4 linked regions of the Saccharomyces cerevisiae S288C genome follow. Changing the gene in region 1 together with any one later gene gives a genetic interaction. Each region holds a gene or a part of one and is shown on either strand. Other genes may lie near its edges.

What was found.
Region 2: mutations in SOH1 (region 1) and MED1 together harm fitness more than expected from each alone (negative genetic interaction), as found in Saccharomyces cerevisiae (5 studies listed by BioGRID).
Region 3: mutations in SOH1 (region 1) and SWC5 together harm fitness more than expected from each alone (negative genetic interaction), as found in Saccharomyces cerevisiae (5 studies listed by BioGRID, with this or other methods).
Region 4: mutations in SOH1 (region 1) and SAC3 together harm fitness more than expected from each alone (negative genetic interaction), as found in Saccharomyces cerevisiae (6 studies listed by BioGRID, with this or other methods).

What each region holds. Positions count from the first base shown.
Region 1 is NC_001139.9:267,463-274,156, reverse strand, and holds SOH1 (mediator complex subunit SOH1), read left to right. Parts: upstream 1-3,381; coding exon 3,382-3,765; downstream 3,766-6,694. Other genes in the region: methylenetetrahydrofolate reductase (NAD(P)H) MET13, read right to left, coding at 1-1,637; SCS3 (Scs3p), read right to left, coding at 2,018-3,160; U2-type spliceosomal complex subunit CWC23, read left to right, coding at 4,013-4,864; mitochondrial 37S ribosomal protein mS29 RSM23, read left to right, coding at 5,082-6,434; CEG1 (mRNA guanylyltransferase), read right to left, coding at 6,633-6,694. UniProt on the Saccharomyces cerevisiae protein: Component of the Mediator complex, a coactivator involved in the regulated transcription of nearly all RNA polymerase II-dependent genes.
Region 2 is NC_001148.4:683,930-689,664, reverse strand, and holds MED1 (Med1p), read right to left. Parts: upstream 3,768-5,735; coding exon 2,067-3,767; downstream 1-2,066. Other genes in the region: YPR071W (uncharacterized protein), read right to left, coding at 858-1,493; SPE3 (spermidine synthase), read left to right, coding at 4,228-5,109; HOS1 (histone deacetylase), read left to right, coding at 5,312-5,735. UniProt on the Saccharomyces cerevisiae protein: Component of the Mediator complex, a coactivator involved in the regulated transcription of nearly all RNA polymerase II-dependent genes.
Region 3 is NC_001134.8:679,273-686,606, forward strand, and holds SWC5 (Swc5p), read right to left. Parts: upstream 3,819-7,334; coding exon 2,907-3,818; downstream 1-2,906. Other genes in the region: OM14 (Om14p), read right to left, coding at 277-670, 768-778; COQ21 (Coq21p), read left to right, coding at 1,090-1,290; telomere maintenance protein PBP2, read left to right, coding at 4,156-5,397; DAD3 (Dad3p), read left to right, coding at 5,705-5,989; ARC40 (Arc40p), read right to left, coding at 6,166-7,320. UniProt on the Saccharomyces cerevisiae protein: Component of the SWR1 complex which mediates the ATP-dependent exchange of histone H2A for the H2A variant HZT1 leading to transcriptional regulation of selected genes by chromatin remodeling. Involved in chromosome stability.
Region 4 is NC_001136.10:765,598-776,282, forward strand, and holds SAC3 (Sac3p), read left to right. Parts: upstream 1-6,279; coding exon 6,280-10,185; downstream 10,186-10,685. Other genes in the region: GIR2 (Gir2p), read left to right, coding at 109-906; ENT5 (Ent5p), read right to left, coding at 1,139-2,374; peptidylprolyl isomerase CPR1, read right to left, coding at 2,915-3,403; DNA-directed RNA polymerase I subunit RPA14, read left to right, coding at 3,928-4,341; YDR157W (uncharacterized protein), read left to right, coding at 4,334-4,735; HOM2 (aspartate-semialdehyde dehydrogenase), read left to right, coding at 4,760-5,857; SSY1 (Ssy1p), read left to right, coding at 10,566-10,685.

The sequences.
Region 1 (6,694 bases):
AACTCCTCCTTCCACGCTAAGAACGAAATTTTCTCGACAATGGTAGGTTGAAGAATTTCTCTGCCGGGGAAAATACCCCAAGTCACAGCGTTGGACTTGGAGTTGTCTGGATGATTACTTAGCAGGTCACCTTGAGAGTCGATGGCGAAGTAGGTCAAGAACTCATTGTTTTTCAAGGTGTCAATCAACTTGGGCAACTTAGTCTTGGGCAACATAAATTCCAAATATTGCTTCTGGTAAACGTAACCATCCTTGGGTCCCCAACCATGAATTTTGTCATTGGACCTAATGCCGTTGACTTGAGGTTGAGAGTTTATAGTGATGATAGAATGCTGGTTCAGCTCAATCAAGTGTGCTTTGATTGGATTTATTTCATCATTGATGGGGATATCACTCCAAGGTAAACACTTCAAGTTTCCATTCAAGTAGTTGATGACCAAGAAGGCGACGTCGTTGATGGAAGTAGGGGTGGACCATAATTCGAGACATTTGTTCGCTGATTGCCTGATCAAGTCTGAACCACACAGATCCAAGTCACCGAACGCAGGAGAAGACGAATCACCGAATCTACCGTTGGGGAATTCGTCCACGGCCCATTGAGAGGTTCTTGCGACATAGGAGTAAGGTCTTCTCTTCCAGAAGATAGGTCTGACTTCCTCGTTTTTACGCTTTGGATTCAAAGATTTTCTCCATGGCAACACGGCCAATGGATGTGCATTGAACTCTGATTCCGTAGGTAGAATGTTCAATCTTTCCAGAATCATGAGAGGCGCTTTTTCCAAGTTCATGGTGTAGATGTGCAAGTGAGAAACGTAACCACTGTCGAGCAATTTTTGACACATTTCCACGATCAAGTTAGTTCCGATATCACGGACCAACTCGTCATCGTCCTTGATAGGATCCAATCGGGACGAGAAATGTTGAGGGATGGAGATTTGGCCCCATTGGGCCCTTCTCAAGAAGGCCGCGTAGGTAGTGATCGGCATGATCCCGGGAATAATGGGCACGTCCATGCCCGCAGCTCTAACTTGGGAACACCAGTTGATGAAATTATCAACATCGTAAAACATCTGAGTGATGATGAAGTCGCCGCCGGCGTCGATCTTCTGCTTCAAATACTCGAGATCAAGCTTCACGTCTTTGTTAGGCAACTCCGGATGGCACTCCGGGTAGCCGGCAACGCCGATAGCGAAATGGTCACCGTACTTGGACTTGATATACTTAATCAAGTCCTTGGCATACTGGAAGCCACCTTCAACGGGAGTCCAGTTTTCTGCGTCCCTAGGAGGATCTCCTCTCAGCGCTAGGATGTTCTGGCAACCGGAGTGATAAGCGTTTTCTAAAGCGTCGTCAATCATCGAAATGGGCATATTGGTGCAGGTAAGGTGCATGCACGTTTCCAAACCAAGCACAGACTGCGCTGTCGCAACCAAGTCCGTGGACAGATGTGACAACCGTCCACCGCCTGCATTCCAGGTGATGTCAATAAATTGGGGCAAAGAAGCCTCGTACATCCGGTCCATCCGGTCATACAGGTTCTGTACACCTTGTGTAGTCTTCGGGACGAAGTACTCGAATGAGTAAGTGGGCTTGCCAGAGGTCTGTCTATGTTGCTCTAATTTTTCTGTGATCTTCATATTGCGATGTGGTTGTAGTAGTAACTGTGGTGGTTCTGTTTGCTGATAACTTTAGTTTAGGGAGACTATTTCAATCAAGGGGAGCAAGGCAAACTACACGAAACACAAGCTGTGGCATTAGCTTTTCCACGAGCGAAATATCACCTTTTTTTTTCTACTTTTCGTATATATGATATATATACGTATATATATATATACATACAAACATATATATATATATATATATATCAAATTTTGGAAAAATTTGAGTCAAAGTTGCATATGCAATATTCACAGTCTATAATCCGAGGGATAGAATGACTAAACGACGGCCCGCTACCGGGAGAAAAGTCGCTGTTATTTTTTCAGTCGCTCGTGGTCTATCGCCAACTTTTCCTGAGTCATACTGGACGTAGCGCGGCTGCGTCGCGAGCGTAGACAAGGCCTGTCACTATGTACGCAGCTAGCAATCCAGACATGTGCTCACGTACGGTGTGGAAACGGGACGCCACCGCAGTCAACAGCAGCTGCCATAACCACGTGACCAATAGCGTCAGCAGTATGATTACTGGGTGGTCGCATGCTATGCATCGCGTCAAACGGAGCAGGGCGGCCGCGCACGTGACAGGCGGCTCGACTATCGCACGCCACAAACGGGCGCCACAGGTCATTGAGCCGCCGCCACACCGCCGCCACGTCCATAGCGGTCCAGTGTCGAAAAGGCGGGTCACCAATCGTACAAGCTGCCATTTCTGCGCGTACAAGTGAGCCAGTGCACGACGCCCAAACACACGTAGCTCACCTAGAAGAAACATGCACATCAAGGTGGCCAAGAACACGTGCCCGGATGGATCGTGTCCTCCAGCCCAATGGCCTCCAAAACGTCTGCACTGTGCCGAGGTGGTTAACGGACCTTGCCACCTGTGCATCTGGTCATGAATAAAAGTATTGATGGCAGCGGCAGCGCTGGCCGTTACGTTTTTTGGGGTTTTCGGTTGCGTCGCCTGCAGGGCGCCCTGGATCGACCCTATGGAGCGGTCCCAGAGTTGTTGCTGACGGTGTTCTTGGTGGTGTCCGTGCAAAGTGAGGACATTGTGAATGAGCGCCAACGCGCGATTAGTCCGGGTGACAGAACCCTGGAAGTCTTCGTTCACGTGACCTGCATCATCGAAGACGTCATAGTGACAATGGCCACCCGTATATACGAATACCAAGTCCATGATGGGGCCTACGCCAAACCATATACCTTGCGTGAATACGTACCACCACACTGTCAGTATGGCATACCTTTTGAATGACTGGACAATGTGTCTTCGGTCTCTGCCGGTTGCCCCCGGCACCGCACGGTAGCGTATAATACACCACCATCCGACCAAGGAAGTCCAAAACCACCCTTTCTTTACCAACATAGCATTTACCAGACCATCCTTATTCAGGGTTGCTTGCAGCGCCGCACCGTAGCCATACGCGTTCATGAGATATCCTACCAGTACCGTCAACGGGCACACCAGTAGGTGTATAGCATTAAACCATTTGCTAGACATTGTTGTAATATGCCGTGCTTTATAGCTGGTTTCAGTGGAGTTTTAGGCGTTTCCCCTTTGGCTTTTTTCGAACAGTTCGTTTTGTATTTTATTTCACGGTTTTCCCGCTAACGTGTTCTTAAAGGATGAAAAAGAAAAAGAAATGCAGGAAAAATGAGGCAAAGTAAGCCAAAACTTATAGCACTCATAAGACGGCAAAGTTCCCCCAAGCTCCACCCAGGATGTCAAGCACTAATGGAAACGCACCAGCGACACCTTCCTCGGATCAAAATCCTCTCCCCACGAGGTTCGAAGTGGAGCTCGAATTTATCCAGTCACTGGCAAACATCCAATACGTAACGTACTTACTCACTCAACAGCAGATCTGGAAGTCTCCTAACTTCAAAAACTACTTGAAATACCTGGAGTACTGGTGCAACCCCCCTTATTCGCAATGCATTGTGTATCCAAACTGTCTCTTCATTTTAAAGCTGTTGAACGGGTTCATGGAGTCGGCGATCGTTAATGAAGATGGCCTGCTGGAAGGGCTAGACGAGCTGCCCAAGATCATTCAATTACAAGGCCCGCAATGGATGAATGAAATGGTAGAAAGATGGGCCAACTGAACACACCTAATTATAACTACATTCGCACGCATTCATATATCTATTTTATACACTCATGAATATATATACACACACACACATATATATATCACATATATACATATATATATGTATATATATATGCAAGCCGCATTACTTTGTATTTTCTTTCCTTTGTTTTCCTTGCATATTATCTCGCAAGACATTAGAAGATGAAAGCAAAATCAAAAAGCAAGTCCATCGCCGTACTACAAGCCTCGCCACGACTATGCCAGGACACGAATTGGAAGACGTAATAAATCAACGTTTGAACCTATATGATGTATTAGAATTACCGACCCCCCTGGACGTCCATACCATCTACGATGATTTGCCCCAAATTAAACGCAAATACAGGACCCTTGCCCTGAAGTATCATCCTGACAAACACCCGGACAATCCATCAATTATACACAAATTCCACTTATTATCGACCGCAACTAATATCCTCACCAATGCAGACGTGAGACCCCATTACGACCGCTGGTTAATTGAGTTCCTACGGAAAACAAACGACATTGAAAGAAATAAACTTATACAAAAGCTGGAAGAATCTGAATCGAGTACGATACCCACCACCACACCACATCCTGATTTATTGCAAATCCAACGCCACGGCGAGCTACTCAGGAAACTAAAACATTTCAACTTGCCCTATGGTGACTGGAAACATCTCAACACACAAGACCAAGAAAATGCTTCGCAACATCCGTATTACGATTGCTCTACTTTGAGAATTGTCCTTGACAACTTCCTGCAATCAAATAATAAATCAAACTGCTTATCTCATTTGCGCAATCAAGTATTCATCACGCTAAGTGCTAATGAAATCTACGACATCTACTTCTCTGAAAGAAACAACTACTCGAAGGATGATTCAATCATCATATATACTGTATTCGATACTCCCATCACAGCGCAGCACGTATTCCGAAACTGGTCAAGTGGGAACCTCATACCCACGGTCAAGGATATTTCGCCCTTGATCCCGCTACATTACTACTCTGATTTTAATTTGGAGACGGAACTGAATGACGATATTGCAAGACTGGTCTCTAATGAACCTATCCTACTCGACTAGCTTGCACATATGTATGCCTGTTTTTCTTTATCCTATGGAACACTATATTTTCCGGGGCTTTCTTACAAAACGGAAGAAAAAGAAAAGGAAACTCAGCAAGTACTATGTACAAGAATATATATATATGTATATTGTATATATACATCAACTTCTATACTTCGAGGGAAAACATTAACAAGAGAACAAGTACAAGCCACGTGGTATACGTATCAGAATAATGCTACGTATGTCAACTTCAAGATTCATTGGGCAAAGGCTGTTCACTACGGCACGATCTCTCCAGGCTGCTAAACCGGCACCAAAAGGTAAAACTCAAGGATTTTCCAAAAAATCATCTTCAGTCTCATCTTACTCATCTGCAAAGAGAGTTACTCCTGGTTCATTGTATAAAAACTGGACAAACACCACGCACACCGCTCAATTACAACAGACCGCCGTTCCTTTGGCATTACCTATCTTCAACTTTGATGATATTTCCAAGACTTTGAATAAAGTAGTATCATATTCCAACAAACAGTACAAATCCCTTCACCATTTGGGTTCCTTCAAGAAGTCGCAGTTCAATGAACTTTTTCAAAAACCGGTTTGTCTAGTTCGTGAAGATGCAACGAATAGCTTTTTGAAGAAACTAGTATCTCATCCTGTTAAAAAATTTATAATCACTGGAGAGCCAGGGGTCGGGAAAACTGTACTACTCTCTCAAGCGCATGCATATGCAGTTGATTCCAAGCAAATCATTATTAACATATCATATCCTGAATTATTCCTGAACGGTAGGAATGACTTTTCTTATGATGATGATTTAAAGCTTTTCATCCAACCGATGTATTTGAAAAAGCTTATAAGGAAAATATTGAAGGCAAATGACCCTGCATTGTTAAAATCTATTGAGCTATCCAAAGACTACAAGTTCTCGAATGCAAACCCAAAGAATGCCTCTGTAAAACCATTTGTCACATTAAACAAAACGAAAAATACAGTTTTAGATTTGTTATCCGTAATGACCCACCCGCATAATCGTGGAAAACTAATGAAAGCCATTATTGATGAGTTATCTGTCCAATCCAAGGTGCCAATCATGTTTACAGTGGATAATTTTTCAAAAGTGTTAACTACTGCATATTCTGCGTACAGAAATACAGAGAATAAACAAATATATTCCCTGGATTTACAAATGGGTAAATTGATGATGGACATTATTTCAGGAGAGACGAAATTTGCTAATGGTGAGAGTTCTACTATATTAGCTATATCCGGCGTTGACAGGACAAACAAAACTTTACCCGTGGCATTGGGCAAGATCCCAGTAGACCCCTATGTTACTAGATATCACTATGAACCGAAGTTCGTAGAATTGCTCCAAAAAGGTAATGTCACCGAATTCGAGGTTCCTAAACTGAACAAACAGGAAGTTAACGAACTAATCGATTACTACAAACAATCAAATGTTTTATTAGACAAGGATATCACAGGAAAAAAGTGGGAGAACTTGATTGACGAAAAATATTTCCTAAGTGGTAACGGTAACCCAAGAGAATTATTGAAAAGTTTAGTCCTTTCCCATAGGTGATAAGCATGCGCATATATATACATGTATATGCGTATATAACACTTTCACCCTCGCTTCTCAAAATTCTCCCATTTCTCATGTACATATAAATAGATAACTAACTGAATTAATTTAGCAAAAGCAATTGCTTTTGCTTTTCTATCTTATTCATACACAAAATTCTTACACCGATATATGTCGATACGAACACTTCTTAGCCTAATCCGACCAATCATCCTCGTCTACATATTTTGGCTCCTTATCATTACTTGGGGGCTGTG
Region 2 (5,735 bases), on another chromosome or scaffold:
TAATTTCAAAAAATAATACGACACCAGCAGGATTTGAACCAGCGCGGGCAGAGCCCAACAGATTTCAAGTCTGTCGCCTTAACCACTCGGCCATAGTGCCCAAAATAATCTGGTAGTGTTAGAAAACGGAAGGTATTAAAAACATCTGACTAAAATTAATTTCCTTATATTGATGATGAGTGTTTCACTAGCAGAAGTAATTCTAGCTAGGGACACTAAGAGTGTTGGAATGAATATTATATATTATTTTTTGACTATTATTCATATTACTGTTACATATTGTCATATACGATGCAAGAAGATGACATAAAGATTGGGAAGTAGTCGCCAAATTTTTTATTGAAGTTAAAGTGTAATGATTGGAACTTCTAGCATATTCTGTATATATAATATTATCGACTATGGAATCCCAACAATTTTACAAAATTCTCCAGATCTCAAGAAAGTATAAAAGATATGGTAATATCATTATGTAAAATTATTGATTCCCTTTTAGGGATGCCTATGCCCTCGAGAAGTGCTAGAATATTTTGCCTGTCTAAAATTATAACCTCTATCAATAATGGATCCTCAAAAACTATCCCGTTATTCACCTATTTCTTAATCCAAGGGAAGTTGGACAACCATTAGATGTGATCCGCTAGGAAAGAGATATAAACTGCTTTTAATTGGCTATGAAAAGCTGTCCGTACATTTATTAACTGCGGGAGTACATTTGCTATTTCAGGCCTCATGGAGAAAATAGTACATTTTGTTCCCTATTGAAAAATACAGAGAAAGAAATATTGAAGTGTTGTTAAAAAACATGTAATAAACGCACCTATGGCATACTGAACTTAATTTTAATCGAGGTTAAGCTATAGCGTTTCATTCTCTGATGTCTTCTCATCGGTAGAAGGTCTATCATTCTTTTCTAGTGGGCCGTTATGTAAATAATACTCTTTGAATAAATTAGCCGTCATGTAATGGATAAATGCACCAATGAATCGCATTGGTATGATAAGCCCTAAATAATCTCTCTTGCCTGGATCCTTCGTTCCAGGAACGCTTATACCCCGACGACTCATTTCTGTCATAAAAGAGGCCAGTTGAATTATTAAGTTAGAAGTGGTTAGAGAAACGTATAATAGGAAAAAATATAACCAATTCTTATATTTGAACCAATTGGGGGATCTTATTCTTGTATTGCAGCGAGAGCATCTTATCTTCGTACATCTTGGAGGCAGTAGATTAATCTTATGTCTATATCCTCTTTCCATCCACACAGCAAACCCCCAAATAGAAACGATCGCTGAATATGCTACGAACCAGCCCACAGTATTATCAAATGTCAAAAGTTTAAATGGGGGAAAGGGTACAAATGAATATGCAAACATTTTTCCGATGAAAATTAATCGCATTACTTTCATAGTAAGTCTGACGGCTAACGGCGGCAATACATCATCATTACTACGAGCAGGAATATTGCTTTTGTCTTCTGTGCCGTTTTGCATAATTCCGTTGCCAATCGTCTTGGAACTGGAAACATTTAATAAATGCACTTAAAACAGAAAGGGCCTTTTTTATATATTAAATTTTTGACTGCCAAAAAAATTTCCAGTTTCTACTCTCTTTTTTACTGAAGTAGCAAGCGGCCTGCTGATTTATTTTCTAGACAGTACACTTACAGCTGCCCCGGGATCTTGATACATAAATACGCTGCAGCAAGAAAACGCAGAATGGAAAAAAATATATATATGCAGTAATAATATCGACCTCCTCCTACCTACCTATCTACCTATCTAGCGTGTTAGTGGTTCTTGTTTTAACCTTTTTCCTACATTTTTAGTATTTCTCACAATGATAGAGATGTCCTTGATTATATATATTGGCAAATGACCGGTAAATGGCTCAGTTCGCAAGCTCATTTATTCTAACGTTTATCTTTTTTAGAATATAGGCCACACTAAACAAACTCAGTCATATGAGGTATGAAAAGCATGCACCTTGCACTAGAAGGTGTACGTAAACCTAAACTCCATCGAGTGTACGGTCCACAATGTGTATTTGAGCCACTCCGTACCTCCTTAGCTAACGATATCCTGAAATTTTTCAATAAATTTACTCCAGCATTTTACATCATCATACAAGTTACATTCTGAAATAGTGTCGAGAATGATATGATCTTCACTTACAATTAGTTGTAAGACCGACGATTCAGGTTTACTAGGCTTAGAACTGACGTCTTTCATTTCTATGTCTGCGTCATCCGCTGTTGCAGTACCATAATTTTGACTAGTGCCTTGCAGTACACCATGATCTTCCATCACAATATCAGTTCCTGCATTTTCTTGATTCGAAACAGAGGCGGTGAATCCGAGGTCATTGGCACCATCCATAGTTGTAGAGTGCTCTTTGATGCTGTCTCCATTTTCCTCCTCTATTGCGGGTTCAGATAAAATTTCGTGCAAATTAAATTGCTGTAAACCCTCTTCTTTAAGCATCATTGCTTCAGTTATACTGGGACGTTTGCTTTTATTAGTTGAAGAACGCCTTCTTCTAGAGGCCTCTACTACACTTCCATGTCTGTTACTTCTTGGAATTGGCTCAGTGTTAGATGTTGAAGAATTTTTGTCTTTAGTCGAGGTGGAGAATGGAGCTTGATAGTCAGGTTCAAGTTCCGATGAATTTGAATTTGAACTAGGTGTGGAGACCAGTTTAAAAACATTTTGAAGTACTATCCTCGACCATTGAACCCATTTTAGTATCTCAGAGATTAGATCTAGATTGTCATTACTTATGTCAAATTTTTTAATATTGATTAATTTTGTTGTAAAATCGTTCATCAGTTGTATTCTACTATTGTAGTTATTGTTCGAAAATAAATCAATTATAGGTGGCGAAGAAGATGAGTTTGATGAACATGTAACTTTATCTATAATAAGTTCCGGTGATATGAAATCCTCAGGAAACCAAATTAAGTCTGTATAGTTACTTTCCTTAGCGTTTGCTACTATTTCCATAACCAAGGAAATGCCGTTAGAAAAATTCTCAGCAGATTCATTTATCCAAGATTTGGTTTCTTGTGAATATATGTACTCATAGAACCTGTATTGTGAATCGCTTTTGTTTTCTTCTAAATAAATTTTGGCTAAAGGCACTTCCTTACCATTGATGCCCTGGGTTAAAATATATATTCCAAATTTATCATTCAAATTGGTCCTGACTTTAAAGTCGCAACAATTGTCTTGGAAACATTGTCTTATATAGTGTGATAGTTCCGTGAAATACTTAAAAAGATCAAGTTTACCTTGGTTGTTAAATGATGCGTTGCTTGAATCTAAGCTTTTGTCAGAAGACCCATTATTATGGGAGGTAGAATCGGACTCGATGTGGGAATATGCATCTAACAGATATAGAAACTTCAAATTGTTATGAAAAGCTTTCAAATCAGGATACTTTGTTAAGGAATTTAGAAGAATGTTGCTTTTTTCATGCTCTCCATCTCGTTGGTTAAAGTAGTCAAAATTATCAAAATTAGATGCTAGTACGAGTTTAACGTCCTGAATTCTGTCTTGCTTCTTATTGTAGTCAACATCTATCACGATAATTTTAGATGCCGTCGATAATCTTGAAAGTTCATTACTCAATTCTTCTGTGAAGGACTCGAGACCCAAAGTTTGACAAAGTCGTGTTATATTCTCCAAAGTTATGGAACCAGGTTTGTAATCCTTGAATAATTCAATCATGGAGTCTAAAGTCTCCACATAAGAGTCTCCTTCTACCATCTCCAAAAGAGTTTTGTTGGCTTTTGTTCTATGTTTTCTTTGCTTTTGATTAGGAGTTCTTTTTCAAACACAAACGTTCCTTAATAGGTAACCTTCATTTTAAGTTTTGAAAAATTAATTAGTTGCAATTACATCCTGACAAAAAAAATGTTGCAAGATTTCGCAAAAAGTACATTTGCAATTTTTAAAACATCAAATACCTACTCGTAAGTACAGGATTAAGACAATATACAAACGCGATTCTCTACACCAATATTCTGCACCTGCATGATTTCAGGAACTCCTCATTTCTTTGCTTGAGAAAAAAAATTTTTTCACCTTTCATTTTTTTCTCTAAAAATGCTATTGGCATGAGATAAGGAATAGCTGTGATATAAAACTGACTTAGTAATTTAGTATCTTGTACGCTTCACATAGTAGTTCAGTCAAGAAGAGCAAACACTAATAAGCAATAAATCTAATGGCACAAGAAATCACTCACCCAACTATTGTAGACGGCTGGTTCAGAGAAATTTCTGATACCATGTGGCCAGGCCAGGCCATGACTTTAAAAGTGGAGAAAGTTTTACACCATGAGAAGTCAAAATATCAAGACGTTTTGATCTTCAAATCCACTACATATGGTAATGTTCTAGTTTTAGATAATGTAATTCAAGCCACCGAAAGGGATGAATTTGCCTACCAAGAAATGATTGCCCATCTTGCCTTGAATTCCCATCCAAATCCTAAGAAGGTTCTTGTTATTGGTGGGGGTGATGGTGGTGTTTTGAGAGAGGTTGTCAAGCATGATTCCGTTGAGGAAGCCTGGTTATGTGACATTGATGAAGCTGTTATTAGACTATCAAAGGAGTACCTACCAGAAATGGCTGCCTCTTATTCTCACCCAAAGGTTAAGACCCACATTGGTGATGGTTTCCAATTTTTAAGAGATTACCAAAACACATTTGACGTAATCATTACTGACTCTTCTGACCCAGAAGGTCCAGCTGAAACCCTTTTCCAAAAGGAATATTTCCAATTGTTGAACAGTGCGTTGACAGAAAAGGGTGTAATCACTACACAAGCAGAAAGTATGTGGATTCACTTGCCAATCATTAAGGACTTAAAGAAAGCCTGTTCTGAAGTTTTCCCAGTTGCAGAATACTCTTTCGTTACTATTCCAACTTACCCAACTGGTACGATTGGTTTTATGGTTTGCTCCAAAGATAAAACTTGCAATGTCAAGAAGCCACTACGTGAAATCTCTGATGAGAAGGAGGCTGAATTATACAGATACTATAACAAGAAAATTCACGAAGCTTCCTTTGTTCTACCAACCTGGGCAGCCAAGGAATTAAATTAGGGAGAATATACATATATATGCATATGTTTGTTTAGCTAAATAATTTTATTGAGCTTTGCTTGGGAAATTTCTTCATATTACTACTTATAATAAAATAGAATATGAAAAAAACTAAAAAATTAATAAAGAAACAAAAAGTAAAAAAAAGGTGTATGTACTGTAATATGAATTAATAAACACCTGTCCATTTTAGAAAAACGCTATGTCGAAATTGGTCATATCAACGTCAATATTTCAGTCTCAAGTAGCAGATTTACTCCCATGTAACAATCATCAAAAATCGCAGCTGACATATTCCCTAATAAACGCGTACGATCTTCTCCAGCACTTTGACGAAGTGCTAACATTTCCCTACGCCAGAAAGGATGATCTGCTGGAGTTCCATTCGAAATCATATATCGATTATTTGATAAATGGCAGATTCAATAAAATGATGGCACAAGATGTAAATAATCCCATGGTAGAGTCCAAATGGAGTGAGTTGAGTGAATTGGCCGATAATTGGAACGAAAAAATCGACTACAATCCATCGCAAGATCTTCAGAGATTCACCACTAGAGAGAATCTCTATAATTATTATCTGAATCACTCACAAGCGCTCGAAAATAATATGGACTGTATTAATA
Region 3 (7,334 bases), on another chromosome or scaffold:
AATAACTCCAAGCAACATGTTCATTGAGTTATAGCTCTCAAGTGCCGTAGTGAGAAAATGTCGTGGTCCGGGTAAAACAAATTAAGGGTACTTGAAATGAAAAAAGAATGATAGTAGACAGAAAAGCTATTATATTATAGAAACTTATCACTTGACCGATGAAGAGGAAAGCACGTTTCCTTACAAATAAATCAGCAGTAATAGTTATAAAAATATATGTATATAAAGTGTGTGAGTGTGTGAGTGTGTGAAAGGATGTTATTAAATAGTATGTTATTATTTCTTGTCGTATCTGGAGTAGTATTTCTTTGAAATTATACCGTCCAGCGTCAAAAGACCCAGAGCGCCGGCGGTTGTTGCTAAGACTGTAGAGTTAGGTTTCCCCTTCAAGAATCTGGCGTTGTGGTTCGCATACCCGTTACATAAATAACATACCACTGAAGAATGCAGCAACAAGTTGACCAAGACAACGGGATTCTGAAGTTCTAAAAAGCATACTTTGGCAAAGTCTTGCGTCTTACTGACAAAAGCTTGGAGGTAGCCGCAAGCGACTGCTGATGCACTATTTAACCGTGCCTTCAGATATTCGATAGCGCATTCCTTCTTATTGTTGTGGTGGTGACCGTCTTCAGAGTCAGAATTTGGGCTAGCGTTACTGTCGTGTTTAGCACTGGGGAAAAGAAAGATGGTCATAGATGATATACGTTAGTCAAAAGAGAACCGGGAGAAAAGATTAGGCGATACGTTTCAGATATTAGTGTACATACGTTGCAGACATATTATGAGATGCTGGAGGTAGATGTTATGTTTCTAATTGTTGGAATAGGGTTACGTCGGCGGTTTCGGTTGAAGTGGGCACATTGATCGACACTTTATATACGCAGGGACGATTAACGGGAGAGGAGGTAGCGGCGGCGTCATTGGCCGCTGGCCCGGGGTAGTAGGGCAGGGAAAGGGGACGGTGAAAAAATAAAACGTAAGTGGGACAGCAGAGATTTGAGGAGTTGAGGCAAGAACAGAGGAGAGAACGAGAAAGCGGATAAGCAACAAAGGAAAAGGAAACAAGTAAAAAAAAAAAAAGAGACTAGCATGAGAAACGAATTATACCAGTTATGGTGTGTGGCGAGTGCAGCAAGAGGGGTAGCCAAGAGCTCATTCGTAAGGGCCAATTCGGCCATGTGTGAGTACGTGCGCACGTCCAACGTCTTGAGTCGCTGGACTCGGGACAGGCAATGGGAAGCAGCTAAGGCCCTATCACAACGGGTCAAGAAAGAGTATGCCGCCAATTAGTGCACACACATACATATATTTTATATACTTACATATTTGGTTGCGTGGTATATAGAATCTCTCCTTTCGCTTCATGAATGAACTCATTCATGCGAAGTCAAAGGAAAAAAAAAATAAAAAAATAAAAGAGCGAACGGGAAGACGAGAGAAACATCAAGCGACCAAAGTAAAAGTCAAGAACGACTCCACAAGTGCGAGGGTCGCGACGTCTCTAACTTTAAAAACAGGCGTCAACCATCAAGTCCGTTTCTTGATGCCGCCGGCATTCTTCAAATCCCTCCAAAAAAAACGCCTCTATGACATAGGCGGTTAATAAAACTGGCCTTGAAACAACAGATGCAGTCATGGCTCTTCTCTTTTCCCAGCAAACGCCTTCCATTGCCTCCTTTTTTTCTCTTCCAGAACTCTCTCAGCAGTATTCTCACAAACACATCTCCTCCCCTTTAGCAAACCTCCATTTATATCCTGCGAGAAGAGCTCCTTCTCCTCAATGAGAAAATAAGCACAAAATAAACTGGGAAAAAAAATATAGTAAAAGACGCCAGCACGTTAACAATGGAACACTCTTATTGTAGACCAACCCCACCCTACACCCCCTCAAACCGAGGACACTTCAAAAGGAAAATCAACAACTTTGGCCGATACTTGGGGGATAAGCAAGCTTATCCTATTACATCAAAAAAAGAATCGTAAGACACCTTTCCTTGCAAACCAAAAATCATAACAAAGTCGAAAAACTTCCTCTTGCAGCGCCACCAGAAAAAGAAGACGAGCGAAGAAATCAACAATAAGAGCGCCCCATCCGCACTAGCACCCCATACCATAAATATTATCTCCCAACCTACTATAGCACCATTTCTTCCCATCGATAAAGAAAAACCAAATCCCGCGTTGGACATAAACGGCTCGGAAAGACAGGGAAGAGTATGAAGCAAAAAGCCAAACTAAGGGAGAAACAGAAAGCTAAAAAAAAGAAAATAGAAAACAACCAGAAGAAAACAAAAACAATAACCTTGAGCAACCGTCGTCTCAAAAACCAATTTCGAAAAACCATCATAAAAACGCCTTATGAAGAAACCATGAGCGAAGAAAAATAGCAGCAAAAAGTAGTGAGACCTGACATTAGCGGAAAACAACTTGCTTAAAAAGTCTCTTCCCGTCCATTTTATTATTTTGGGTGCCAAAAAATGTGTATTGTAACAAATTAAAAGGTAATGAGCCTCATTGAGGTCATTTCAGTTGTTACACTGAAAAGAACAGATACTACACTTGATCTAAGCCAAAAGGCAAAGAGATTCGTGGGGATTTAAAAAAAAAACAAGTAGAAACAAAATGAATAAATCTGATAACAAGTAAAGTACTCATCGATGAAAAAATGAATGTAGAGCCCTTTTTATATGTTTTCACCGAGTGGCCCATCGGAAACGGCAAAAAAAAAAAAAGAAAGAAAAAAGAAAAGAAACATAGAGCGTTGCTAGGTTTTTTTTGCCACCCACACCCATACACCCCATTACTTTGTCTGCAGCATCGTTATACACGTAGTGAAAGTGTGCAGGCCTCGGCGGTTAAAAAAATTTGAGCAGAAAAGCATGTTATTTAATACATGTAATATTTGTCTATGAAGCTTCGCTATCCTGCTGCAACTGCTGAGCAAGTTGTTGCCGGCGCAATTCTTTGTATCTCTCGTCCTCTGCAGACCCGACCCGCTGCAGAAATTCTTGCCGGGCCAAGAACCCATCCTTGTTGTGCAGCACCAATTCGTCGTTAAGTCCAGCACGGTCTACATAACTAGCCCAGTCCAGCTGAGATTTTTCTAATGTCGTTAGCTTGGGTCGTAGCCCGCCAGAAATGATCTGCTCCAACAATGGAGGCCTTTTCAGTGGCCGTCGCAAGTGTTGCCGGCTTTCATTGGACTTGGTCCTAACTGCTTTTTCCAGTTGAACAGGAGCAGCAGGCGCCTGCTGCTTAAATTTCAAACTGTTTAGATATTCTTGACCCTCCGCACTGCTGCGTGAAACCCATTTTTTCTCATGGACAGTTTCACCAGCAAACTTGTAGTTTCTTTCGATGAGGATTTTGTCCTCCTGTTGCGCGGCCGTTGTCGACCTAGCCTCCTTGGAACCGTCGAGAACAGAGCCGACTTTCCCTGAACTGCTCAAAAGACGGTTCTTACTAGCTTCCTGTAGCTCCTCCCAGATGCTGTTTACTTTTGCAGGGATCGATTCAACAGTTAACGATTCATACTTATGTGTTTTCGCATATTCTTCCTCAGCTTGCCGAGCTCTTCTAGTCTTGATCAGTCCGCCGCTCTCGCTCTCTATACGCGAATAGTCCACTTTATTTCTACCCTTATCTCTGTTCACACCGTCATCATAGTCGTCACCGCCATCGCTGGCATCACTATCGTCGCTACCACCACCTAATTTATCTTTTTCAGGCTGGAAGTCCTCGTCCTCCTCTTCTATGTAGCCGTCCTCGTCCTCGTCCTCCTTTTCGTTTGGTATAATCTTTGTCTCTACTTCTGGCATTTATAGGCTAGTGGGTTTTCTTTCTTGAAACAATATTATTCCAGTTTACGCCTTTTCGTCTTTTTTCTTACTTGTCGATTAATCCTATTCATCATCTTTAAACTTCGCTCTTTAATTCACTTTTTTTTGTCTTTCCCCGATATGGTACTTACACGAAATATCATGATACAAAAGAAAACACGTACATACTCGTCAAACGATAAATACGCACCTAGTCGTTAGCCGCATAAGTAACCTTTTTCATATTCAAACTTATCCATAGCCACATCCACTCTAACAATTTTAATCGTCCAGCGCGGCATTAAATAATCTTTCTGTAATACTCTTTAGCTCAATTATGTCCACAGAGACTACAAAACCATCAATCACTACTACACCAACTACTGTACTCGTTTCTCCCAACACGCTCAAAAGGAAAAAGGGTGAAGACACCAGCGAGGAACAACTGGAAGCAGAAATCAAACGCGTGGCCCTGAAGGATGCAGACAGCCACTCTGACAACGACCACGATTCCCCCGACAATGTTCCCTCTGATGTACATTTACGAATGCTGTGCTTAGTCAAACACGCTTCACTGATAGTAGGACACAAGGGCGCCACTATATCTAGAATAAAATCCGAAACCTCTGCTAGAATAAACATATCAAATAATATCAGAGGTGTTCCTGAAAGAATTGTTTACGTGAGGGGTACTTGCGATGATGTAGCCAAGGCATACGGCATGATAGTAAGAGCGCTGCTTGAAGAACATGGTAACGAAGATAACGGGGAAGACATTGAGATTTCTATCAACCTATTGATCCCTCATCATCTTATGGGATGTATAATTGGCAAACGTGGGTCTCGGTTAAGAGAAATTGAGGATTTGAGTGCAGCAAAATTATTCGCGTCCCCGAATCAATTGCTGCTTTCTAACGATAGAATTTTAACCATTAACGGGGTTCCGGATGCTATCCATATTGCTACTTTCTACATTAGTCAAACATTGCTAAACTTTCAGATGGAATCTCCGCAGAAAAATGTGAAAAGGTCCATATACTATCAGCCAACTCAGTTTAACTCAGTATTAATAGACCATAGCCAACCGAACACCATTTTCCATCAAAGAAACCACCAATATCATCCAAGCGATAAACTACTTTCATACAAACCCAACAAAAATTTACCAATATCATCTACTTTGTTGAGTATGGCCACACCGCAGTATACTACTGCTAGCGTTGCAAACGCAACGGCCTTTCAACCGAACTTCGTTATCCCTAATGTGACAGTCTTAGACGGCCCTGTTATCAGTCCGGCACCCGGCAACCATTTATTAATGAACTTTGTACAACAAGAGATATTCATAGATGAGAAATTTGTCGGAAATGTCATTGGCAAAGATGGCAAGCACATAAATTCGGTCAAGGAATCCACAGGTTGTTCAATTATTATACAAGATCCTGTAGAAGGCTCTTCGGAGAGAAGACTTACCATAAGAGGTACGTTCATGGCGTCCCAAGCTGCTATTATGTTGATTAGCAATAAAATTGAAATTGATAGATCAAATGCTGAACGTAAAAGAAGGTCGCCCCTCTAAATATACTGCTAGTCAATAAAAACACATAGAAAATAAAAATACAGAAACTACAAAAGGCAAAAAAAATAAAAGAAAAGGTAATAAATTGAATGAATGTAGATATATAAATATCAATAGAAATACGTACGCGGAATTATTTCTCTTTGTAACAAATTGATCAAAAGCTTTGTATTTTTTTTTTTTTTAGCTCGGCTGCGCGCTATTACAGTAATTACATGTAAATAAACTATTCCAAAGAATACAAAAGAAGAGCTTACAGTAGCCAGTCAAAGTCGCTGTGAAACATACACGGCGTTGTAGTCACAGTATGGAACACAATCTTTCACCTTTACAGCAAGAAGTATTGGACAAATACAAACAGCTTTCTTTAGATCTAAAAGCTCTGGATGAAACTATAAAAGAACTAAACTATTCGCAACACAGGCAACAGCATTCACAGCAAGAAACTGTATCGCCAGATGAGATACTACAGGAGATGAGGGACATAGAGGTCAAAATTGGTTTAGTTGGGACACTGCTAAAAGGTAGCGTGTACTCGCTTATCTTGCAAAGAAAGCAAGAACAGGAGTCTTTGGGTAGCAATTCTAAATAATGGTTTGGTGCAAGAAATTGATTCTGATGCTTTATTTTTTACGGTACACTACATTGTGCTGTGAGTTGTAATAATATAGTCTGTATATGCCAAGTGAAGAAAAAAACAATACAAACTCAAGGTGTATTATGAGGTAGGGAATACACATAACAATATATATATATACGTATGTATATTTAAATTGTATAAATGACGATCTTACCGTCTAACCCACAGGAAGAGACTTGTGTGATTTGGCCGTTGGATTCCGCAAAAGGTCTTAATTCCACAATGGCGTTTTCATGTGCACTTTCTTGGACATCTGTGCTAACTTTACCTTTCAAGTCTAATTCTTTAAACTTTCTCAATGCGGAAATACCGAAAGTTGAACTTTCATCATTATTACCACTCAGCTCGTCTGTATTACCAGATGCAGTTAAGGCAGAAGACTTGTTATTGTCTGATTTGTCTAGATTCTTCGCAAATTTCCAGCCTTCAGAGGCTTCGCTGAACAATACCGGATGACAAGAGTATCCTCCACAAACAATCTCGTGGTCGTTTATCCATACTAAGGACCTGTAAGGTAAACCTTCCGGAGCATTGACAGATTGCACTGGAGATTGGTAATCGACAACATTCAAAGTACCATCATGCGCTACATAAGCAATTCTTTCCATCTGACTTCTCCATTCCACATCATGGATATAAGAACCCTGATACCACTCCCTGATTAAACAACCAAAAGGGAATTTCTGGCCCCAGGGTGATCCGGCGACGGATTCCTTGGAATCCAAACCCTTGATAAACCCGCTGAACACACGCATAAACCCATCAGTACCACCAGCAGCTAATAGGACTCCATTTGCATGCCAAGACAGGCAATTGATGGTAGATTTGATGGGTTTCTTGATGTGCTTGGATACCCACCAATTATTCTCGTGTTCGTAATAACAAACAGCGATGATTCTAGCACTGGACCCAACAGCAAACTTATAACCATTTGGTGCCCATGTAACTGAAGTAGCTGCTCTGTTAATACGAAGAAGTACTAACGTGGGCTTGTATGTCCCATCACTCAATGGCTCCCAAACGTAAGCATTACGGTCTTGGGAGCAAGTCACAATACGACCATGTATGGAAATGTCCACAGCAGTAATGGTTTTATCATGATCTTTCAACGTTGCGAATAAAACGGGAGGTGTGTTGTTTGAAACTCTATAGACAAGACAATCTGTTTCGCATGTAACGGCTAAAATAGATTTATCTTGAGAAAAGCAATGAGAGTAGATTGGCGCTTTGACCAGCTTGTAGACGGCAACAACGGACTTGTCTTTAGAATTGGAAAATGACATTAGGAGACTCTCAA
Region 4 (10,685 bases), on another chromosome or scaffold:
AGCAGGCATCGTTAGATTGGCTTTAAAGAGCTGAGTTTCCCATGCTGTCGGTTGGTATAATTTAAGGAAAAGCCCTCCCTCCATATCCAGAAGGCACTTGTTAATACTATGGATTATAAGGAAGAACAGAAGCAGGAACTAGAAGTTTTAGAGTCCATTTATCCTGATGAACTGAGGATCATAAACGATGAATACCCAAAGATTAAATTTGAAGTAGCCATTAAATTAGAGCTGGATACAGGTGATTCTACTTCTGTTTTAACCAAAGAGCACACTATAATCGCCGAATTCAAGTTACCAGAAAACTACCCTGACGAACCATGCCTGATTTCATTGGAAGCTCAAGAAGTAGCCCTCAATGACAACGAAGAAGATAACGAGGAAGATGAAGACGAGGTTGAATATGACGACCATGGTAATAAAGTACTGAAAAAGTTTGAAAACCTGCCAGATTTAATAAGCTTTAAGGGGTACTTGCCTGAATTAACCGTACAATTAGAATCGCAAATCGAAACCGATATGTTATTGGGTATGCAAATGTGTTTTGCATTGATTTCATCCATAAAAGAAAGATGTGAGCAATGGTATAGTGAACAATTGAATAAGCTCGAGAAGCAGTACGAGCTGGAAGCACAAGAACGTGAAAAGAAGGAACAGGCCAAGTTCCATGGTACTAAAGTCACAAGAGAATCGTACTTGGAATGGAGGTCTAAATTTCGCCAAGAACTGAAACTGGATGAAAGAGACCAGGTGAGAAGGATGAAGGCTCATCATGGGAAGCTAACCGGTAAGCAAATGTTTGAACAAGGCGTGGTGGGCACAGGCGACGAGTATATGGAAGAGGATGACGCGAGTGTAGATGACGTAGCCAAGGGACTTGCCAAGACCGAAATAGCAAATCAATAAATACTTGTGTACTTAAGTATTTAAGTATTTTCTTCTGCATGGATAATGACATATACAAATGTATCTATATAATATTTTTTTGATATTCAATAAAAAGAAAACTGACATTTGAAGAAGGAAATAGACAAGTTTTTAGTAAGATATTATTAGTGTATATATGGATACATATATCTGAGAATGAAAATTTGTTGACTGTATTGAATGTATTGGGAGATGAAGGGGTATTTGGTGATTAGACCAACGACTTGGAGTAAGAGAATAAGTCGGAAAATGCATCATTTCCCTTCGACTTGTCCTTTGTAGCCTGAGGACGGGCTTTTTGCTGTTTTTTCTCCGCAAAGGGCAATGATGTTTGCGCAGCAGCGGTGGTATCTGTGTCTGACTTTGGGCCATCCCAGTCAAGCAAATCATCTATTTTACTATTGGAAGTTTTAGGTGCTGTTGTGTCGGGACTCGTTTCGCTTTGGAAGTCGCCAAACTCATCATCATCATCATCACTATTGCTGTTGATATTATTGTTTTTGTTGTCATTATTACCATTGTCTATTGTTATATTATTCGTGGTGCTAGTACTATCGTCAAGATCGATTAAGTCAGGGATGCTATCTTGTTGTTGCTTTCTTTTCCTCTGCTGTTCTTTATTTTTGATCTGCTCTCTTAATATCTCCCTTCTTTGTCTTCTTTGTTCTTCCATATGAGAACGCCTGCGAGTATTCGAATTTGCTTCTGTTTCCACAGGAACATTGAAGTTGGTCACATTATTAGCATCCATTTCACTGTCAAAGCCATCTGCATCTGCATCAAATTCATCGTCGTCGATGTTATCGTAACTTGCAGACGTTGAAATCTGGTTGGCATTATAAATGGAGGATTCTCCTTGCTGTCGAATTTTCAAGGCATTCTTCTTATTCTTGGCTCTTTCCTTTTTCAAAAATTGTGAGTCTTCCAAGTATTGCAAGATAAGTTCTCCCTTTTTCCTAATACCTCTCTCATGAATCTCCATTTTACCATCATTGGAGAATTTTACCTTGAATTGGGCAATCTCCCTGGTTAAAATATGCTTATGAGTGAGCAAACATGATCTAATCTGATTCAGTTCGTCACCTGTGTCGACGTTCAATAATAGGAATTCAATGACTACTAGACATTTTAAGACCACCCTCCATTCGGACCCATAATTAACGTAGTCCTTTCTTGCCTTTTCGTATAGGTTCTTGGGCCTGGTAGCGATATGGTCGACTAATCTTTTCAACGTGTATTCTGTCATCAAGTAGAGCGGCACTTGGTATCTGTTCCTTAAAACCTTGGCGAGGTGCTTCGGTGTGGGGCCCCAAGCATCGGTATTTGTAGCACGACGGATATCTATCTGATAAGGCTCATATTGGACTATCACGTTTTGGGCAAACCTTGCGGCATTTCTAATATCATGGATACCTAAATTTTGAATCTTTTTTGATAATGAGTCCATTTTGTATGGTGTTGGTATTTATGCAATTGGAACGTTTAATTTGTGTATATGAATTTCCCTTCCGATTTGTATATTGGATAGAAATATAATTTTTTAAAAAAAGTAAACTATAAGCAGCCTGGAAAGATAAGCTAGACCAATTCTTATTGATAAAAAACTAAAGATAAATTCAACCGAAAACTAAAATCTAGATTGAAATTAAAACAAGAATGAATGAATGGATCAAAGGACCTGAATATGAAAAAAAGTGCAGGAGAAAGAAAATTTTCTCGCTGTGGAAAATAAGCCGAAAATCCGTTACCTAGAGGAAAGAAAGAAACGTGGGAAAAACAGGGGGCGGTACCCGGCGGCGTCAACTTAACAGGCATAACCTAGGCGGTAGTTGGCTAGTTGGCAAGCCTGGCAACATACTCCGATATAGGTAGGAAGAGTTAGTTATAAGAATTGATTGTCATACATACACATACCTTATACATATACATATAATTTAAGAGAGAATAGTTCGTTTCAATTTTTGCTGTATTGTTCCAGGCAGAGCGGTTATAATTCACCGGACTTGGCAACAACAATTCTAGCCTTGGTGGCACCGGAAGGAGAACCCAAGGACTCAACCTTCTTAACGATGTCGTAACCGTCAACAACTTCACCAAAGACAACATGCTTACCGTCCAACCATGGGCATGGAACGGTGGTGATGAAGAATTGAGAACCGTTGGTGTTTGGACCGGCGTTGGCCATGGACAACAAACCTGGTCTGTCGTGGTGCTTCTTGAAGTTTTCATCTGGGAATTTGCCACCGTAGATAGACTTACCGCCGGTACCGTTACCAGCAGTGAAGTCACCACCTTGCAACATGAAGTCTGGAATAACTCTGTGGAATGGAGAGCCAGCGTAGCCGAATCCCTTTTCACCGGTACATAGAGCTCTGAAGTTTTCTGCAGTCTTTGGGACTATGTCGTTGTACAACTTGAAAACGACACGGCCAATTGGTTGGCCATCAGCTTCGACATCAAAATAGACTTGGGACATGGTAGTATTAGCGGTTGAGTTTGGATTGAGTTGAGATATTAAATTCAAGACAAATCTTAATATAACCTATCTAGCGAAAAAGGAGGAACAAATGATGACGACAGTGGCAAAAGGATAGAAGGCTCAAGAGAATACGTTTATATTTATACAGGGAATCGAACAGACACTTGTCAGCGTAAGCCCAACCAAAGTGAGAAGGGCCACGGCCATTACCAGAGACAGAAATGAGTGGAAGCGCGTGGAAGCCCGTCTAGCAGAGGAAGAAATTCGAGACGAGGCGGGACGTGGCGGGCTGGGCGCCCCAGAAAATACCGTAGAGGACGAGGGGGGCGGTGGAAACCCCTAAGGGGCGAAAGGCGGGTAACATCTAACAGCGACGGGTAAGCATATTGCGGGTGTAAAATTTTTCATTTCGAGCTTACTTCAAGATGATGCATATGTTTAAATCACATTGATTATAGAGGTCTCATCGGTAAGGCAGAGCAGAACTGGAGACGTCTGAGGTAAGATTTCGATAATACAAGATGATGAAAGGTTCTAGAAGAACAGGTAATAACACTGCTACCACGCTAAACACGCCTGTGGTCATTCATGCCACGCAGCTGCCCCAACATGTCTCTACTGACGAGGTTCTTCAATTTCTGGAGAGCTTTATCGATGAGAAGGAGAACATTATTGATAGTACTACCATGAATACCATCAGCGGCAACGCCGCTGACGCGGACGCTGCCGCTGTGGCTAACACCAGCCTCAACATCGACACCAACCTTTCCAGCTCCATATCGCAATTAAAGAGGATTCAGAGAGACTTCAAGGGTCTGCCACCCGCCCAAGACTTTTCCGCCGCGCCCATTCAGGTCTCCACGACGGAGAAGAAGGAGACAAGCATAGGTGTTAGTGCCACCGGCGGCAAGAAAACTACATTCGCCGATGAGTGAGACCTGTAGCAGCAGCCTTGCCCTTTTACACAAAATCCTACATATCCATTCACATACGCCTTCTGTATACTACAATATATGCATATCAGTTAGAATTCTGACATCTGAACGTCTTCAGTGCTTTTTTTTCTCTTTCTTTCCAGATCCAAATATCACCGGCAGCGGCCTCAAAGTACCCGGTTTTCTTTTTTTTCACACTTTTTTTTTTTCCAAATCATGTTGTCAAGCATTGATTGACTCATTTTCCTCTGACTACTACCAGTTCAAAATGTTAGAGAAAAATAGAAAAGCAGAAAAAATAAATAAAAGAACCATATTTATTTGTTCATTCACTTTCGAGTATAAAATTAAATCTTGTTTTTCTTGTTTTCACTTAAGTACACATACAAATTAAATTGTAGAAATAAAGCGTTCTAAAATGGCTGGAAAGAAAATTGCTGGTGTTTTGGGTGCTACTGGTTCCGTTGGTCAACGTTTCATTCTGTTGTTGGCAAATCACCCTCATTTCGAACTGAAAGTTCTTGGTGCCTCTTCTAGATCAGCTGGCAAGAAATACGTTGACGCTGTGAACTGGAAGCAAACCGATTTGCTACCGGAATCTGCTACCGATATTATTGTTTCCGAATGTAAATCTGAATTCTTTAAAGAGTGTGACATCGTCTTTTCCGGATTGGATGCTGACTATGCTGGCGCTATCGAAAAGGAATTCATGGAAGCTGGTATCGCCATTGTTTCCAATGCCAAGAATTATAGAAGAGAACAAGATGTGCCATTGATTGTTCCTGTTGTCAATCCTGAGCATTTGGATATTGTAGCTCAAAAGCTTGACACCGCCAAGGCTCAAGGTAAGCCAAGACCAGGGTTCATTATCTGTATTTCCAATTGTTCCACTGCAGGTTTGGTTGCACCATTGAAGCCTTTGATTGAAAAATTCGGTCCTATTGATGCTTTGACCACTACTACTTTGCAAGCAATCTCAGGTGCTGGTTTCTCCCCAGGTGTACCAGGTATTGATATTCTAGACAATATTATTCCATACATTGGTGGTGAAGAAGACAAGATGGAATGGGAGACCAAGAAAATCTTGGCTCCATTAGCAGAAGACAAGACACACGTCAAACTATTGACTCCAGAAGAAATCAAAGTCTCTGCTCAATGTAACAGAGTCGCTGTTTCCGATGGGCACACCGAATGTATCTCTTTGAGGTTCAAGAACAGACCTGCTCCATCCGTCGAGCAAGTCAAGACATGCCTAAAAGAATACGTCTGCGATGCCTACAAATTAGGCTGTCATTCTGCTCCAAAGCAAACTATTCATGTTTTGGAACAACCAGACAGACCTCAACCAAGGTTGGACAGGAACAGAGACAGCGGTTACGGTGTTTCCGTTGGTAGAATCAGAGAAGACCCATTGTTAGATTTCAAAATGGTTGTCCTTTCCCACAACACCATTATTGGTGCCGCTGGTTCTGGTGTCTTGATTGCCGAAATCTTACTAGCAAGAAACTTGATTTAAGGAAAAATTGCAAAGTTATGTCTTCATCTTACTTTTTTTTCGAACGAACAAAAAATACAAAACAAGTAAATAAGTATATGTGTATGAATATACGTATAATAATTTGAAACGTAGATCTTTATTATTAGTTTCTTGAGTTTCGAGAATTCGTGATTCAATGTTCATTATTTTTTCTTTTCTTTTCTTTTCAATAGTATAATACCAAGCCTTTATTATTTTTCTTCCACTTCAAGAAAAGGTAATTCTCTCGCTGACCCAAGAAAAAAGCTAAACAGAGAGCGTAGTGATGCATACAAACAACTCATTTACATGGGAAAAAAAAGGAGAGAGGAAAGCAGCAGACATATCTCAAAGCTGGGATACACTCACAATAGCACTGTTGGTACTCATTTCAGGTAATACTCTTGGAAGGTATCCCTTAAATGAACACATCATTTGGCTCAGTAGTGCCTTCCACTAATTTCAATTTTTTCAAAGGGCATGGAAATAATGATAACACTAGTGCCAATAGTACTGTTAACAACAGCAATTTCTTTTTAAATAGCAATGAAACGAAACCTTCGAAAAATGTCTTCATGGTGCACTCTACCTCTCAAAAGAAGTCGCAGCAACCGTTACAAAATCTCTCACACTCACCTTCCTACACGGAAAATAAACCAGATAAAAAGAAAAAATATATGATAAACGATGCCAAGACCATTCAACTTGTAGGTCCACTGATTTCCTCTCCTGATAATTTGGGATTTCAGAAGAGATCGCACAAAGCAAGAGAATTACCAAGGTTTTTGATTAATCAAGAACCTCAATTGGAGAAAAGAGCTTTTGTACAAGATCCCTGGGACAAGGCTAATCAAGAAAAAATGATCTCATTGGAAGAATCCATAGATGATCTCAATGAATTGTATGAAACACTAAAAAAAATGAGAAATACTGAGCGATCGATAATGGAAGAAAAAGGGCTAGTGGATAAAGCTGACTCAGCAAAGGATCTTTACGATGCTATAGTATTTCAAGGTACCTGTTTAGATATGTGTCCCACATTCGAGAGATCAAGAAGAAACGTTGAATATACTGTGTATTCATATGAAAAAAATCAACCAAATGATAAAAAAGCTTCTCGAACTAAAGCATTGAAGGTCTTCGCGAGGCCAGCAGCAGCAGCAGCTCCTCCTTTACCTTCTGATGTTAGGCCACCCCATATTTTAGTCAAGACATTGGACTATATTGTAGATAACTTATTAACAACATTGCCTGAAAGCGAAGGATTCTTATGGGATAGGATGAGATCCATAAGGCAGGACTTTACATATCAGAACTATTCAGGACCTGAGGCGGTAGATTGTAATGAGCGTATTGTTAGGATACATCTTCTGATCTTGCATATCATGGTGAAATCAAATGTGGAATTTTCGCTTCAACAAGAACTAGAACAATTGCATAAATCCCTTATCACGTTATCAGAAATATACGATGACGTTCGTTCCAGCGGCGGAACATGCCCAAATGAGGCTGAATTTCGAGCTTATGCTCTCCTGAGTAAAATAAGAGACCCTCAATACGATGAGAATATCCAAAGATTACCAAAACATATTTTCCAAGATAAATTAGTTCAAATGGCTTTATGTTTCAGAAGGGTTATATCTAACTCAGCTTATACTGAACGCGGGTTTGTTAAAACTGAGAATTGTTTAAACTTCTACGCAAGGTTTTTCCAGTTAATGCAATCACCCAGCTTGCCATTATTAATGGGATTTTTTTTGCAAATGCATCTGACGGATATTAGATTTTATGCGCTAAGAGCTTTATCACATACTTTAAACAAAAAGCATAAACCAATACCATTTATTTATTTGGAAAATATGTTACTCTTTAATAATCGGCAAGAAATAATTGAATTTTGTAATTATTACTCAATTGAAATCATAAATGGGGATGCAGCCGATTTGAAAACATTGCAACATTATTCTCACAAATTGTCAGAAACACAACCTTTAAAAAAAACATACCTTACCTGCTTAGAAAGGAGATTACAGAAAACTACTTACAAGGGTTTAATTAATGGCGGTGAAGATAATTTGGCTTCTTCGGTTTATGTGAAGGACCCAAAAAAGGATAGAATACCTTCTATCGCAGACCAATCTTTTTTAATGGAAAATTTTCAAAACAACTATAACGAAAAGTTGAACCAAAACTCATCCGTTAAACCACAGATCAATACCTCTCCAAAAAGAGTTGCAACGCGGCCCAACCACTTTCCTTTTTCACAGGAATCTAAGCAATTACCTCAAATATCTCAATCTCATACTTTATCAACAAATCCTTTATTAACGCCACAGGTTCATGGAGACCTATCGGAACAGAAACAACAACAAATTAAAACCGTCACAGACGGAGGCTCCCCATTTGTTTTTGATCAATCAGCACAGAATTCTACGGTGGAAGCTTCCAAGGCTCATATGATATCCACGACCAGCAATGGTGCATATGATGAGAAGTTGAGTTCAGAGCAAGAAGAAATGAGGAAAAAAGAAGAACAACGAATAGAAGAAGAGAAAACTCAATTGAAAAAGAAGCAAGAAAATGCGGACAAACAAGTAATCACTGAACAAATTGCAAATGACTTAGTAAAAGAAGTGGTAAACAGTAGCGTGATTAGTATTGTTAAGCGTGAATTTTCAGAGGCTAATTATAGGAAGGACTTCATTGACACAATGACCCGTGAACTTTATGACGCATTTCTTCATGAAAGGTTGTATCTGATATATATGGATTCTCGTGCTGAATTGAAAAGGAATTCCACTCTAAAAAAAAAGTTCTTTGAGAAATGGCAAGCATCTTATTCTCAAGCAAAGAAGAACCGTATATTAGAAGAAAAAAAAAGGGAAGAAATTAAACTCGTAAGCCACCAATTAGGAGTACCAGGTTTTAAAAAATCTACATGTTTGTTTAGAACCCCGTATAAGGGTAACGTAAATTCATCATTTATGCTATCATCTTCAGATAAGAATCTAATATTTTCACCTGTAAATGACGAGTTTAATAAGTTTGCGACTCATTTAACCAAGATTTCAAAACTTTGGCGGCCGTTAGAGATGCAATCAATCTATTATGATAACCTTACGAAAAAGTTCCCCTCCAATTCTCTTACTCCGGCAAATTTATTCATTTATGCGAAAGATTGGACATCACTCTCAAACCGTTGGATCTTAAGTAAGTTCAATCTGCAAACAGCACAGGATTCAAAAAAGTTCAGCAATAATATTATCTCTAGCAGAATAATTTGTATTGATGATGAATATGAACCATCTGATTTTAGTGATTTGCAATTATTGATATTTAATACAGGTGTTACGAATCCAGATATATTCGATTTGGAGATGAAACTGAAAGATGATGGTGAAGAACTGATAAAGCTAATCACTGGTATTTCTCTAAATACAAATATATGCTTTTCCCTTTTGATTATTTATTGGGAATCCGCAGAAAATACTTTATCGGAAAGTACCATTAAACACTTACTAAAATTAAACCGAATATCTAAAAACTATAGTAGTGTTATTGAACGCATTGACTTAATGAATCTCACCGAAGAATCCCCTCATAAGTGTTTAGAGGACAAATTATCTGAAATATCACATTCTTATGTGTACAAGTTGACAGAAAGGGGAAAATATGATAAAACACTTCGTCAGAAAAGGTCATTGGCCGGCATTCACTCACGTAGCACTCAACTACAAACTACAAAGGACATTGATCAAAAGATGAAGAAAATGCTGGAAAAAGAGAAAAACAAGTACCAACAACAAATAGGCGAAAGGAACACCTATGCGCATCTAGAATCGCATATAGATGCATCACCAAGAAGCAAGAAAAGGAAATTGCCAATACTCCTGTCAACTTCTCATTCGAGCCAATTTAAAACTCCTCTAGCTTCTAGATTAAACACCTCTGGTTCGTCTACTTCACCACCTTTACCATCTCATTTGGCGATGAAATTCAGGAAAAACTCGAGAGTTACTAGTTTACATACCGTATTACCCGTTAGCACACCAAGCCATAGTAATAACATACCAGCTGCAAGTTTTAGCGGGAATAACACCACCGATATACAGTCCCAACAATTAATCGAAAACCAGAAGAGTACATCTGTATATTTGAATAACGTTTCTGAAAGGATTCTGGGAAATCAAGAAATATGTCAAACACCAATTAATCCTGTTACTCCTGTGCTAGATGGGGCCGATCAAGGTAAGGAGGACATTCCTGATAGTATATTAGAGCTGAAGATCTTGATCGATTCTGTCAAGAAGAAAGTAAATAATGATTAAAGCATTTGTAATATATAAACAAAAGAAATGTGCATTTTTTCTATAGCTTTAGGAAAAGTATTTGATAATCACCCATTTCTTATTACTGTCGGCGTGCCATCCTTTTCTCTAAAGCTCGGCGGAAGAAAAATTCAATAATTGTGCAAAAAGTGAAGCCAGGGTTGCAAATACAGAGTTATATCAAAAGACCTACAGAGTATACATACACGTTCTCAGGGAAAAGTCTTCTGATATATTAACTTTACACATGCATTGCCTATCATAATCATATACTGTTGAAGACTAATAGAAGCATCTCTAGGGGAAAAAAGGAAACAGGCGTGTGATAAGAGGCCAAAAAGTTATAAACTGCTTAAAAATAGGGAAGTTCCTTGAGGAATATGAGTTCTGTCAACCAAATATATGACCTATTTCCCAATAAGCATAATATCCAATTTACAGATTCTCATTCACAGGAGCATGATACTTCGTCCAGCCTTGCTAAGAATGATACAGACGGA